4 linked regions of the Schizosaccharomyces pombe genome follow. The gene in region 3 interacts genetically with the main gene of each other region. Each region holds a gene or a part of one and is shown on either strand. Other genes may lie near its edges.

What was found.
Region 1: of rec12 (region 3) and sfr1, changing one suppresses a phenotype caused by changing the other (phenotypic suppression), as found in Schizosaccharomyces pombe (one study listed by BioGRID).
Region 2: of rec12 (region 3) and mcp7, a mutation in one rescues a mutant of the other (synthetic rescue), as found in Schizosaccharomyces pombe (one study listed by BioGRID).
Region 4: of rec12 (region 3) and moa1, changing one enhances a phenotype caused by changing the other (phenotypic enhancement), as found in Schizosaccharomyces pombe (one study listed by BioGRID).

What each region holds. Positions count from the first base shown.
Region 1 is NC_003423.3:1,578,749-1,582,448, reverse strand, and holds sfr1 (DNA recombination mediator Sfr1), read right to left. Parts: upstream 1,994-3,700; 5' UTR 1,762-1,993; coding exon 862-1,761; 3' UTR 569-861; downstream 1-568. Other genes in the region: hrd3 (HRD ubiquitin ligase complex subunit), read left to right, coding at 1-346; ERMES complex subunit, membrane tether and lipid transfer protein Mdm12, read left to right, coding at 2,501-3,322; SPOM_SPBC28F2.05C (xylose and arabinose reductase), read left to right, coding at 3,444-3,700. UniProt on the Schizosaccharomyces pombe protein: Involved in DNA recombination repair and meiotic chromosome segregation.
Region 2 is NC_003424.3:576,772-580,493, reverse strand, and holds mcp7 (protein Mcp7), read right to left. Parts: upstream 2,045-3,722; 5' UTR 1,974-2,044; coding exon 1,908-1,973; intron 1,814-1,907; coding exon 1,247-1,813; 3' UTR 775-1,246; coding exon of another isoform or gene 705-774; 3' UTR 660-704; coding exon of another isoform or gene 595-659; 3' UTR 546-594; downstream 1-545. Other genes in the region: SAGA complex ubiquitin Ubp8, read left to right, coding at 1-198, 244-541, 595-659, 705-774. UniProt on the Schizosaccharomyces pombe protein: Required for meiotic recombination.
Region 3 is NC_003424.3:1,770,990-1,774,710, reverse strand, and holds rec12 (DNA topoisomerase type II (DSB-forming) Rec12/Spo11), read right to left. Parts: upstream 1,787-3,721; coding exon 1,506-1,786; exon of another isoform or gene 1,448-1,505; coding exon 1,339-1,447; exon of another isoform or gene 1,289-1,338; coding exon 1,211-1,288; exon of another isoform or gene 1,147-1,210; coding exon 1,018-1,146; exon of another isoform or gene 949-1,017; coding exon 508-948; downstream 1-507. Other genes in the region: UBA/TPR/DNAJ domain protein Ucp7, read right to left, coding at 1-453. UniProt on the Schizosaccharomyces pombe protein: Required for formation of the double-strand breaks (DSBs) that initiate meiotic recombination. Required for crossover recombination and chiasmatic segregation of chromosomes during meiosis I.
Region 4 is NC_003424.3:3,728,016-3,730,977, forward strand, and holds moa1 (meikin), read right to left. Parts: upstream 1,020-2,962; coding exon 501-1,019; downstream 1-500. Other genes in the region: retromer complex subunit Vps29, read left to right, coding at 1-89; NatA N-acetyltransferase complex catalytic subunit Naa10, read left to right, coding at 1,792-1,882, 1,969-2,163, 2,479-2,581, 2,629-2,685, 2,889-2,962. UniProt on the Schizosaccharomyces pombe protein: Plays an important role in chromosome segregation during meiosis I by allowing meiotic rec8 to establish cohesion at the centromeric central core and thereby promote the side-by-side structure of kinetochores at meiosis I.

The sequences.
Region 1 (3,700 bases), on a different chromosome or scaffold from region 3:
GAAGCTTGTGCAATATTTTATTATAAATATTTTTGACATACTAAGCCCGGCAGGTCCGGACTCACAACTTCCCCCAGAACCACCAACACTACAAGTAGATCGTACACCACAACAACCTGACCCTCAAGAAACGTCTGAGTCCTTGCCCTCGCCTAATACTGAAGAGATGGGTGAATCCTATAATGATATTCGTTTCACTTATGATTACATTGATGGAAGGTTTTTGGAGACTGCGTGTGTCACGCTTATTGTGGTAGTTGTCGGACTGGTTTTAATGAGACGCCATCAACAGCATCGACTTCAAGAACGACGTGAGCGAATCATCCGTAGACAAAACCGCGCTTAATAAAAATTGTATCTTCGATTTTTTTGCGTTCTAATTTAAAATTTTGTTGCTCGATGGATGCAGAATAAAAAATATATGTATGTTAGGGTTCGTCGGTGATTAAATCATGCTTTGAATAAATTTTGTTTTTCATCTTTCAATTGGTTGATCTATATTTGTTGTCTGTCAGCCAATTAATCGACTTTTGTTGTTTGAATGTTAAATATCTCCAGAAAAAATTTAGAACCAGAAGGTTCAAAATCAAGAAATTTCAAATTAATGAGACATGTTATTGTATAATGCTAATAATTATATAAATTAAAGTCATAAACTCAGCCTGGAACGATTCATTGTTACATGTAAAGAATTTCGATACCAGCTCGGCGCAATTTGTATGTAAACGATTAAGGTACCTCTGTACGTTCAATTAGTATACCCTTGATTTTGGTGTAAGCTAGCTAAACATATTTAAGTTCGTACTAAAGGTTTTCTAACTAGTACGAACGAAAATTTTTTTAACAATAGTAAGGAGTCCTTTACGATTTCCAATCACCATTTTCTTCATCAAAAGACATCAAATGAACAGGAACACCAAACTGATTTAGAAACATACTCATTGTAAATTCAGTTCGTACTTCCTGAATTTGCCCTTTATTTTCACCTTCTTCAATACGAAAGGACTGAGTAACACCTCCAGCCAAACGAATACGTTCAGCCATTGGTTTAAAAAGTACTTCAGCGGCTTGCTGAGCAGCATTTTTCCATTTCTGTATCAACGTTTGCAAGTCTTTATCTTCATTTTTGGCTTCAACCTTTCGTGCAGTTTCGGCGGTTATGAGCTGCTCTTGTAAATTTCTGACTTCTTTTTCAAGTTTTAAACGACGAGAAAGCAACTGTGTGATTTCAGGGTCGGACTTTGGATTAAGGCAATTAGAGATAGGTGACTTGAAAAGTCGTTTTTGCCGTTTTATTGAATTAGGCGTTGTTCTTAAGGGAGAAGTAACAGGTTCTGAAGAAGTGTTTGTTTCATCAGAGTTAAGATTTGTTACAGCTAACGATGGTTTTAGATTAGTGTCTGCAACTTGAGGACTGGCAGTTTGTCTTAAGGGGCTTTTGAACGGCTTAAGAAGTATATTTTTGGCTTCTCGAGCCCTTTTCTTTGAAAAAGGTGTAGTAATTGGTAAAGAAGTATGTATTTTTGTATCTCGCAGGTCCGGCGTCAAAGCCTTCTCATTCTCTGGATGTACTGTTTCTGACTGCTCGATAAAACCTAGGTTATCTGAGTGATTGCCACTGTTATTGCATTTAGGAGGGTTTTCTATTCCTAACTGACCCTGTGAGTCACGTAAATCACTTTCGCTTAGGGAAACTTTCAAATCTTCTTTACACTGTGAAGTAGCATTTTCATTGAGTTCAGAGTTAATTGTTTGCGACATTTTCAGTTAAATCGTTTTAAAGTACTAATTCGAAGATGAAAGAGTGAATGTTAAATTATAACAAAGATGCAATGAAGCGCGTAACTTTTGTCAACAAACGCGTTGAGTGTAATAGTTGAATGTTTAAACTCTAACTTCAAATAATTAAATGAATTGAATATTAATTGTTATAGAAATGAAGAAATACCACAAATTCCAGATAAACGTTGAAAACGTTTTACTAGCAGAAGGTGAAAATAACAGCAAGCAACAAGAACTTAGGTAGAAGAAGACTGAAGCACATGACTGGTGGTTCCAAAAAATTAAATGTTTATACAAATTACGATAGTAATAAACTAAAAGGTTTATTAATTTACAAATTTGTTTTTTAACCTTTTTTAAACCGCGTAGGCTTTGTTAGAAGGTAATCTGGGAATACCACCTAACTCTACTGACAATACTAGGAGAAAAGATTTTGGTACCTACAGAAGGTAATATTTAAGATAAATAGATATCTTAAAAATTCACTTGCAATTCTCGATGAGTAAAAAAGAACATTGAAGGAAAGGACATTAAAATTGCTGGAGGATTTTGTTTAAAGTATCAAATTCATGCCGTCTTCGTATAAAATTTAGAGAACCGGTTTAAATATTATTTCATTAACCAAGTTGACGAAGAAATTACTTAAATTTTGAAAACTTGCTACAATCGTCATTGAGAGATTCAAGAGTTCGTATTTTTTTTTTACAATTGCAGAACAATGTCTATTGACTTTGATTGGTCAAAGTTAGACTCAGAATTAGAAGCAAAAGTTTTACATCTTCTCGAAGGACAAGTTTCGAATTTGTCGCTACCATCTTATATAAAGCATTTAAAGGTTGTTGACTTCCATTTCGGCAAAGTCTCACCTCAGATTACTATTCAAGAAATCGGCGATCCTGATCCCCAATTTTATGAAAATGAAGCTTTCGAATTAGCTAACCAAGAACTAGAGGGTGATCAATGCTCCCGCAATAATGTTTCACCAGTGCTTACGGATCTTCCACCTTACGCTGCTGAACATCCATTTTCAAGACTAGCATATTTTAATCCCGCATTTAATTCACCCGGGATTCTATCTGCAAGTGGACTCACAAGCCCAATTCCTGAAAGTCGCCCAAGTACTCCAATGGATAATCATCAAGAAAGAGATCGTTCTAACGATTTCCAAGTTACTGCACACGTATCTTATGACGGAGACGCAAATCTAAGCCTGGAAGCGGTTCTATCGATGAATTACCCGAACTCTGAATTTGCAGTTCTTCCATTCAAACTTTCATTTATTAGGATTTCCATCGATGCCATTGCTGTTTTGGCTAAAATGGGAAAGCGGACGCATCTATGCTTCGTTGATACATTGCTGCACGGAACTGGAGAGCATGCATCAAGTGTTATTCGAGATTTAACAGTGGAAAGTATTATTGGAGAATCTAATAAACAGCTGCTAAAAAATGTTGCTAAAGTCGAGAAATTTGTATCGGAAAAAGTTAAACGTATTATTGAGGATGAACTTGTCTGGCCTAGCTATATAACCATTGAATAATTCTTTACAATTATCCTAAATATATAAAAAATTTCCTTTAATCTCCTACTTAAAGGTTTAGGGATTTAGAAAATATTTTTGTCTATACATTGAGCTCTCTCATCTACCTCAACTTACGTTAATGAAACCATTTTCTCCTTCTCAAACCAATTTTGAAAAGGAACAACTTTGCTTTGGTGTATATCAACTTAAGGATTGCTACCAGCAAGTAATTGAGGCACTCTCGCTTGGTATTCGCGTAATTGATTCAGCAATTACATATCGAAATGAAAAAGAATGTGAACAAGCCATTCAAGATTTCTGCCATCAAAATGTGAATATTAAACGTGAAGATATCACCTTAATAACTAAGATTCCTGACTCCTTACAAGGATTTGA
Region 2 (3,722 bases), 1.2 Mb from region 3:
CTTGCTGGACCAAATGCATACGGAAAGCGGAGGAGGAACATCAATGCCGTGCACTTGTCCTATTCATCGTATTTTTAGTGGATCTCTGAAAAACGTTGTTACATGCCTAGATTGCAAGAAGGAGCGGGTGGCTGTGGATCCTTTGATGGACATTAGTTTAGACATCAATGAGCCAACACTTCAAGGATGTTTGGAAAGGTAAAATTTGCTCGTTTTTAGATTTTTTAACAAATATTATTTTAGGTTTGTTTCCAAAGAGAAAGTTCAATATAGCTGTCATAGTTGCGGGTCAAAAAATGCTATTAAACAATTGGTCTTTGACAAACTACCTCCAACTATTTGCATGCAATTGAAACGATTTGAACAAAATAACTTTGCCATGTCAACTAAAATAGATAAGCAAGTATCTTATCCAGCATTTTTAAGAATGCGCTACAACTTTAATCAAGATGATGTGGATTATCAATTATACTCAGTTGTGTGTCATAAAGGAACTCTCGACACAGGGCACTATATTGCCTATACATACTACCAAAATCAAGTATATTAAATTTTTTTTGAATTTTTTATGGAAATTTTTACTAATTTTTGTAGTGGTTTTTGCTGGATGACACCACAATTGTGGAAGTAAAGGAATCGGAGGTCTTAAATTCTCAAGCGTAGGCTCTTTGCTGTTATTTTTTTACATACTAACCAGATTATAGTTACCTATTATTTTACCATGAGCGTCAAATCCTATACAGTGATGAAATGACTGTTAAAACGGAAAATTGAGTTAGATTATGCGATCAGATATCCGTTCATGAACAATCATTATGAACCATGTAAAGTAATTGACTCAAAGGTTCCTTATTTATGTGGTTATGAAACATCATCACTTCGATAATCTAACTCATGAAGAAGCTTTTAGATTTCATATTGTTGAGGCCAGAAATGGCATTGGATTTGGAACCGTTACAACAGTCGCATTTTAATTAATGACCTTACGTAAATTTATAAAAAAAGTTAAAACTATAAAAAAAGAAACATGCTTTTTTTCTTTCAAAGTTAACAAATACTATAAGTTTGAGGAATTTGGACTTTTGTTTTGTTTCGTTTAATATTATTCCAACTAATTATAATTTTATCTTTTAAAAGCTAAGTCTTGTCGTCGAGTAAGCTATTTTATATGTAACTGTTAAAATGTATAAAATTTTAAAATATTAATAAGGAAAACAACTCTTTGAATTAAGGAAGCATGTCAAGTTCACAAAATCGGTAGTTGCAGATCGTCCAAATCCTCTGGAATGCTGCAATACTCACGAATTTGATTGGTATCGGCACCCATGTCTCGACAAAAAGCTATCAAAGTATGGATTTGATCGGTCCACAAATTGGCAGCTTCCATGTACTTTTTAGTATTCTCATTTTTTAATTCAAAGGTTTCAGGATTACAGTGATTTAAATTTGAAAGTTGTGTTTTAAGAAGTTTTAGTTCTGATTCTTTTGCATGTAGCAGTTCCAAAGTGTATTGATTGGCATCATTTTCGGTTCCTTCGTTATCCCTTTTGGATTTCTCGAAACTAATGTTTTCATCTAAAGTTTTAGATTTTTGTTTCAAATCATCAAGTTGAGCTTGAAGAGATCCGAGAACTGACTCTCTTGAACGTTTAGCATCGGAGGGAAAAGACCAGTAGTAATTGCTAGTGCCAATCTTTTCCGTTTTGACGATATTGTCGTCAACGAGAGACTGTAAAACGTCCTTTACAGTTTGCAAAACGATTTGCTTTTTAGAGCCCAGCTTTTCCACCTCCTTTAGTTGAAAAAAATCTTTCTATAAAAAAAACATAGATTAGCAATGTGGAAAGTGAGACACGAATGGGCAAAAATCATGTTTTGGCACTTGAACAATCATATCACGAACTTACAGAGTCATGGAAAATGGCCTCTAATCTTCTTCTTTTCTCTGCAAGCGATAGTCCCTTGGGAGGCATTGTTTAAAAATTTATTAATTAGTTTGAACAAATATGGAGTTTAAAAGTTTGTTGTGATGCAAGAAGTAGATGCTTTCTAATCTTTTGGAGAAATGAGAGTTTAGATCCCAAACATTTACTGAATGATAACGTAGTCTGCTAAAATGCACATCCGCACTTTCCAACTATGATATATACCCTATAATGTCTTACTATCGTATTGCAACATAATGCAATGCAAAACGTTATTCAGCTATCCTAATCTTTTTGACCCTTGAGGAAATTAAGGAATTAAGTGAATGGGGTTGGCTATTGTCGCACAAAAACATGTGAGGAAAACTTCCTTTTGCCACGAAATCGAAAAGACTCGAATACTGATAGCAGCATGATTTTTTTTTTCTCAAGAGCTTTTGTCGGCGCTCACCTTACTGTACGAATTCGGTTTTACAACCTTTTATTTATTTTTCACTTTATTATTTTCACACAGCGAATTTCAAGCAAACACTGACTGACTAACACATTTCCACATACACACACACACACACATAGCATTCATAAGAGCAACGATGTTTAATGTCAGCGCAAACAAAATGTGTATTGACTTTTGATAAGAGATACTCAGTCAATTTGTCTACTAATTTCAACTATGGCTGGGTATTAACCGGTGTGCCATGTTCGCAGCTAAATGTGTTTTAATCTAGATTAGAATATGGGAGTAAGTGACAAACTTTGGGAACCGCTTTCCCATGGGTAAAAACAGGTGTGAAAAGGATTATTGTTTTTATTACTAAACAATCGTATGCAAAGTCATGCGACCAAAAAGAGCGAGTTAGTTAGGTCATTAGATAAGCTTTTGGATGTTCGTAAGCTAAACGACTTGTCGAGCTAAAGTTGTTCGAATCCAATTACATGTTTGGAGAAGACGTATAAGGAGGCACGGTTGGTGGTTTACCGAACAAATAGTAGAAGGTATAGTAGACGTGCACATGTTGACACATTTTTATTTTTAGGTGATAAAGTAGGGTAGAAGCAAGTAGTTTGTTAAATGTGCGTTACGAGCTACGGTAAACATGTGTATTATCTCGGTCCAATGGACGTGCCATCGTTCGATCGCAACATAAGCCCCGCAGTCATTCACCTCACAAACCCTCGAATCGTACGATGTCGCCCTATTCTCAGGTAACAAAATTGGATTTCTCATTGGCTTAGTGGCTAATTCACCTTGACCAGAAAGAACAATAAGGTAGTATCTGAAAAATATGATTGGATAAAAAAGTGTAATTTTGAAGTGATCAAGTAGCATGTTTTTTTACGGATTTTCAGCATAAACAAACGGTTACACGGCCATTATGTTGCATATATAATTCTACCAACTCCCATCAGTCAGCGCGAGACCCAAGTTAGCTTGAATCGTCGTCGAAACCAGCGTATTTGGTGTCAAAGAGAAGATAAATCGATTCTTCACTTGTAGAAGTACCTTAAAAAAGACAAGATCTAAAATTTCTGTATCGATCGTTGTTTTTGAAAATTGTCTTTTCAAAATCCCAATCTCATTCGTTAAGTGAAAGGAAACGTAATTTTTTTTTGTTTTTCTTTCATATTATTGTCTGTTTTCGATTTCGTTTTTAACGCTTTTTTCTATTTGTTTCATTCGTTGTTCTCGTAGCTGCGTGTTAATCAATTCATTTTTTCTTTCTCCTTTTCTTTTTCAAGTTTATTTGCATTAGCTCAAAGGGTTGAACTATTTTTATCTGTTACACATTTGTTGTT
Region 3 (3,721 bases):
ACTGACAGGCTGATGCGGCTCTAAAGACAAATCCTTTAAAGTTACTTTCTCGGAAGCCGATACTTGTGGTTGTGAAATCGGCCTTTTATTTTCTTCAATCTTATCATGAATAACTGCATCTTTATCTCTAGGAGTATTTGATAATTGATGCAAAATTTCAAGGTTTTCAAAGGGATCGTAATTTGAAGATTTGGGGGTGGAATTGGAGTCCGGAGTTCCAACTTTCTGCCTTTCTAGTTCTTTTAAGGAAATTTTATTATCCGTTTTCTTTTGAAATAAATTAGCAAAAGGGTCTTCGGGCTTTGATGCTTTCAATGGAATTTGTGCATTCTTTTTCTGGGCTACTGGGGCGGGAAGGGAGTAGGATGGCGTTCTACTATTATTATTACTGTAATTATTTTGATTAGATGGTGTAGATTTATCGTAAAAATTGAAATCTAGCAAGTCATCCATGTTGGAGGCTTTATTATGGGAGTGTAGTGAAAGTAGGTTGAACTATCCAAGAACTTAACGTACTGAGTGCTTTCCACTTTTGTCGGCATCAGCTAATTTTCCTTTGATCCATGAAGGAAATTCTAGAATTGCTTGTATTTCCGCTTTTTTCTGGATAAACAGCATTCGCTGTAGCTGTTCACGAACAACGGGCTCCTTTTGGAAGCCTTCAAATTGTAATAATGTTGTAATCATTTTAATATCCCTTTTATTCAATTTTAAAGAGAATTCTTGGTTTTTATTAAAAATGTCCTCATACAGAGGGCCTAAAAGCTGTAAATTTCGTAATTGACTGTGCGGTTCATGACTGTAGGCATTAGAACCGTACTTGAAACAGGAATAAATGCATAAGCCATGGGGGTCCCAATCAAAAATACCAAAAAATTTAGCATCCGGGAGGGCTTTGGCTAATTTAACTAAAAATTTTCTCGTCATCAAATCTGGAAATCCTTTAGCCTGTTACAAGCAATTAGTTAGCTAGCACTCTAACATCAATATCATTGAAAAGGAAGCATTCTCACTTACTGTAACAATTATTGTATCCGCTAAAGCCTCTTCGGTTAGCGTTTGGAATACCGCTTCCTTTTCGATGACCAAGACCCATTTTGCTGTGGAAGTGATTGATGAAATTCGATGGTGAGAGATTAATAATGGCTGTATTTAGTAAAATTCTTAGTTAGAAAAAACAATTTTTACGGTTATTAAAACTTGAACCTACTTTAGTAGCAGTAATTACTGTCCCGTTTTCAAGAGCAATATGAATGGACCCAAATACCAATCCTTTAGCAGATGCTTCCTAAGATCAAATTAATCGTTAATGAATCTATTTCCAAAGAAATGACTTACAACGTTAAGGTCGGACCTGGAGCAACCAATGGTGTTTGAAATATCTCCAAGCAGCTCATCGACTACGGTTTGTCGCTTGAATAAATCTACATCTCTGTAATAAATATCTCTGCAAATGTAATTAGAACTTAAATCTGAATTTTCGGCGTATAGTACAAAGCAATTACCGCTTAGTGATTACTGTATCCGAAATAACAGCTTCATGAACACAATCTAAAACCCTGAATAGTTGAGCAATTGTTGTTTCATTCCTGGGGAATGAAAAAACCTTAACTTTTTGTCTTTCATTGGCCTTTGAATCTAAGCTGCCATTCCAAGAATTGTGCTTTCGTCTTTTCAAAGCAACATTTACTGAATCTTTGGTAGGCTTACTTAATTGCTCAACAAAATCATGAACAAATTGCTCAATCCATGATCTAACAACTTTTTTTTTATCATTCGAATTCATTTTTTTTACTTTCTGGACGCGTTCAGCATTCTTTGCATTGTCTAGATAATTATGCAAAGCGCGTATGGTTACAGTGTAAAAAATCAATAGCTTAATTCAAATAAGCTATATCTAAGCGAGATTGTTTTCTGAAGAAATGATACATACATTCAATAAATGGGTAATATCAAGGCGAAACAGTATATGTGTTTTCGTTAACTGCTAAAAAATACTTACTGAAGACTTTCCTTCTGATAAAATGGTGTAAGAGAAGACTCACGCGAGCTTTGCGGACTGAATTGGTAAATCGTAAAGATGGATCGAAATTTGAAATTCCTAAACAACTTATGTTCTTGTCTACAGAAAAGTTGAAAGAAAAGTAAATATATTTGAACTCTTTCGAGTTCAAATGCAACATACGACAACTAAGAGCCATAGATCAAGCGGTTACTTAATTTATTTCTATAGTTTTAATTTTCTATAAAAATATGTATATCAACTGTTTCAATAAATATTGTACTTATAATTTCGTTTTGCCAACTCCTTTGTCAAGAGAGAAAACGTAATTAAAAAACATGGTCACAGCCAGGTTCGAACTGGCGACATTCGACTTATTAGATCGACATGATAACCGACTACATCATGCGACCAACTGTTAACTTGATGATTATTTAAACCTATTTATAATAACATTAATGTTAAAAATATGAATGAAACTGACCTTTTTATACAAAAGGTATATATATAAACAAGAAGGACTTTCATTTTAATTTTGATAAGACAGTTTGAAATATCCTCCAATCCAATTTAAGATTGTTTCTAGTTTACAGATTTTCAAATCAGGAATTACTAAGTCATTTGCAACACTAAACATGAAGAAGTAGTCTAACTCACTATCTGCTCGATGTATATGTTAGCATATGCTTTCCTTGTGCCAGCCCTAAAGAGAAACTGACAGTGGTTTGCTTTTGCAAATGAAAAAATAAAATTGGAGAACATACAATTGTACGAAAATGCTACCTATCCAAATGGGTCTTTAACGAATTTTTTAAGCTTAAAAGTTGCCATATGTAGTGTGTTTGCTTGATTCATTAATAGTCATTTATTATGGTGCAATACTTCGTCAAGACAATAGTGATAGCTTTTTTAACTTATTGCGAGAACAGAAGATAGCAATTAATCTGATGTACAAATAACGATAATATTCTAATGACATCAATGGAAAACAATAATGAAAATAGGCACTCCATATTGCTTCCCGAAATTTGTACTTGTGGCATAGCAGATAAACAGGACGAACTAGATAAAAAATGAGCAAGGGTTTCTAAAGGAGAATAATTTCATCAAGTTTTTTTTTTTTGCTTCTTCTTAATAAGTATTTAATACTCAAGAAAACGTAGAAACAATTAGGCAACAATAGCACTGTGGTTTACAGTTACCCTTTCTTATACAGAAAAGATAGAGGTTATGACAACTGTTAAAACATGGAATTTTGCATGATGAACCGGTATTACTTTTGTAAGTTAATACAATAACAAAAAGATAAAAGTTAATAGAAAATTTAGGGAAAAAGAAGTGCAAAGCTCTGAGAATCATTCCGATATACTTAGACAATAGTAAAATAAATAAATACTTAGAACACGGACGGATTTTGCAATTTTAAGAATTAGGAAGTCCCGTAGATATTATTTAGAAGAAATTTTCCAAAGCATAAACGAAGTAGATAAGGAAAGAGCATTTTTGGAAAACAAACTTAATGGTCAAAACTATGACCAAATTAAAAATTCACGAATTCATAAACAAACCCAAAAAACGAAGACATTTTCGATATGAGCAATAAGCATATAAAAGGGGCTCTATGATATGGGTTGGTGGGAAAGAATGCTTAAAAGGGATTGTCGTAAAACTGGTAAATTATAGAATGAATAAAATCGCAACATTCAAAAAATGTTTTAA
Region 4 (2,962 bases), 2.0 Mb from region 3:
TTCAAGGAGCAGTTTTAATACTTTATGTTTATAGGATTTTTGATGGAGAGGTCCGGGTTGAAAAAATGCAGTACAGAAAACCAGAATAATCTCATGAAATATACGATTGAACCACGGAATATGCGGTCTTTTCATCGTAAAGAAGTGTTAAATGATAATTAGATGTTTTTCTGTTTATTATAGCATAATCCGTATCTTAATTTACCGAGTATGTAGACTACCGAAAAGTATGTGCTTTCCTTACTTGCTTTTTTAAAATGAAAGAAATGTTTGAAGGTTAAATTTATGCGCTGACTTTATCCACTTTTCTTTGTCGGCCTTTCGCGTCAAATATTGTTGAACATGCTATCGTTTGTCCTGATCGATATGTATAAATAAAATCGTAGTCAAGGTTGATTTGTAAAGCAGGTTTGTAAATCTTTTTTAATAAATATATCATATGAAAAATAGATGCGTTAGTACTTGAAAAGTACGATTATATTCCAGTGTCAGTTAGAGATTTAAAACAATATAATCTCATCAACCTCAGCATCAAATGCAGCGAGTGTTTTGATTATGCTTTCTGTCATAGTTTTTCTGTGATAATACGCAGAATCTCTTGTGATAGAGTCCTTTGTTTGGGTATTCTTGATGTTTGAAACTAACCGTTCATCTGGAACATGTTTAACAGTTTCATTTAAAAATAAATTGGAGCCCGTCCTCATGCAAGACTTCGGGGTCGACGTTGCTACAGGTTTAAGTTTGTAAAATAACTCGAGATCAAATTTTAAAATGTTTAAGCCTTCGTAACCATTTACGGGGAAATCGTCAGCAGTTTTTGTCTCAGGTGTCTTAATTATTGAAAAATCAGATGGAAGAATGTTTGAAAAGGCTTGATTTTGATGAATTGGTAATGTTTGATTAGTTTTGTCTTGTAAAGCTGGACGTGTCGAATTCTTTTTTTTTGAATTTGATATTTTAGGATTCTTGTTTTTTTTTATTAATTTATACTCTAATTCGTTTTCATTATTTATAGCCATAAATGCAATCTATTGTTTTTTTTCGCTTAATGTTTTATATGATTAATGCGGTTTTGTTTACATTTTTACCAATGGGAAAACCTAATGTTCGAGGTCTACTAGCTGAATTTACGAATAACAAATCTTAATGTTTTTTCGTTGAGTTTACTTAGCCTAAGTGAAACCACAAGGCTGCTGTTAAAACTTTTAAAGGAAAACCAAGGTAGTGTGACTTTAAGATAATAAAGGATTCAATCAAGCATCGCTAATCCTTTTTGATTCCACAGTAAACAAAATATGTTATGGTGATTATAAGTATTAACTTAGATTATATAATTAATGGCTAATTAATATAAAGTTTTGATTTAATGTCTTTAAGTGTGCAATCCATCGTAAACATCATTGTCTATTTATAATAAGGATTTCTCATCATCTGCATTGAAAATCAAAACAACTTAGGAAACGCAACATTAAGTAATTAGAAATTTGGTTATGCAATGTGTACTAAACGGCTTGTAACTTAAAAGGAGCTTAACGTCGAACATTGTGAGTCTCCAAAAAACATAGTTTTTTTAGCAAAGCAGTAAATATTTGACGTTAAAATACTTGACAGATAATATTAACATCAAATGAATCTTATCATTTCTAAAAGCTTTGCAGTAGTTGCTTTGCATTCCCTGAATTTCGTTTTACATTCACTGCGCTTTCTTAAAATATGGTATGCTGGAAATTTGATTCCAACCACTAACAAACAAAAATCATAGATATTGCTAAAAATTAAACGATTGGCAAGATGGATATTCGGCCAGCTCGTATAAGTGACCTTACTGGGATGCAGAACTGCAACTTACATAACTTGCCTGAAAATTATCAGTTAAAATATTGTAAGTTCAATTCATTGTAATTCTTGCTGCACGGCAATGAACTTCCAGTATTAAAACAATGATTCTTATTTTCTAATTTAATGTAGACCTTTATCATGCTATTTCTTGGCCTATGCTTTCTTATGTTGCTACTGATCCGAAAGGACGTGTCGTAGGATATGTTCTTGCAAAAATGGAAGAAGAGCCTAAGGATGGGATCCCTCATGGTCATATCACAAGTGTCTCAGTAATGCGCTCCTATCGTCATCTAGGACTTGCTAAACGTCTCATGGTTCAAAGTCGTAAGTGTTAATTGAGAGCGAAGTAGATTACGGATATATCCAAGGAGGAGCTAGAGGGAAATCTTAAGCTTTTTTGCAGTTGTTATCGATGATTATTCCAATATGTATATATTTTATTTTGTGCAAGACTTGGTCTGCTAATACTTTGAATTGTTCATTTGGTGAGTTGGTTTTTTCCTTGCAACAATTCATTTTTTTTACCTAATTTGTTTTCGACAATGTTTCCTTCCTGCTGATTCCTTGATATTTTCGGTCCATTCCTTAAACAAAATTTTTTTAAAAAAAGTAAAAGATACTAACTACTTAAATGAACAGAAAGAGCCATGGTCGAAGTTTATGGCGCCAAATATATGAGTCTTCATGTTCGTAAAAGCAACAGAGCTGCTATTCATCTTTATCGTGATACTTTGCAATTTGAGTATGTTTTTACTCGCCATCATTGAAGAGATTCTAACATTATTTTAGCGTTCAAGGGATTGAAAGCAAATATTATGCTGATGGTGAAGATGCTTATGCTATGCAGTAAGTACTTTGTTGTAAAAACTAGGTTGGGGATGGTTGCATGGATCGTTTAATGAGTATTCTTTCCAAAAACTATATACAATCTTTGTGACAATCGTTCTTTCTTTAGTTTGGTCAACTTCTGTATAATTACCTACGTTGTTTCAGACAATATATGACTGTTCAACGTCATCACAACTATCTAGGTTACTAACAATTTTTAGCAAAGATTTTTCTACTTTGAAATTCGATACACCAGAAACCAACGACGAACTAGCAAAAACCGTTCAATCTCTTG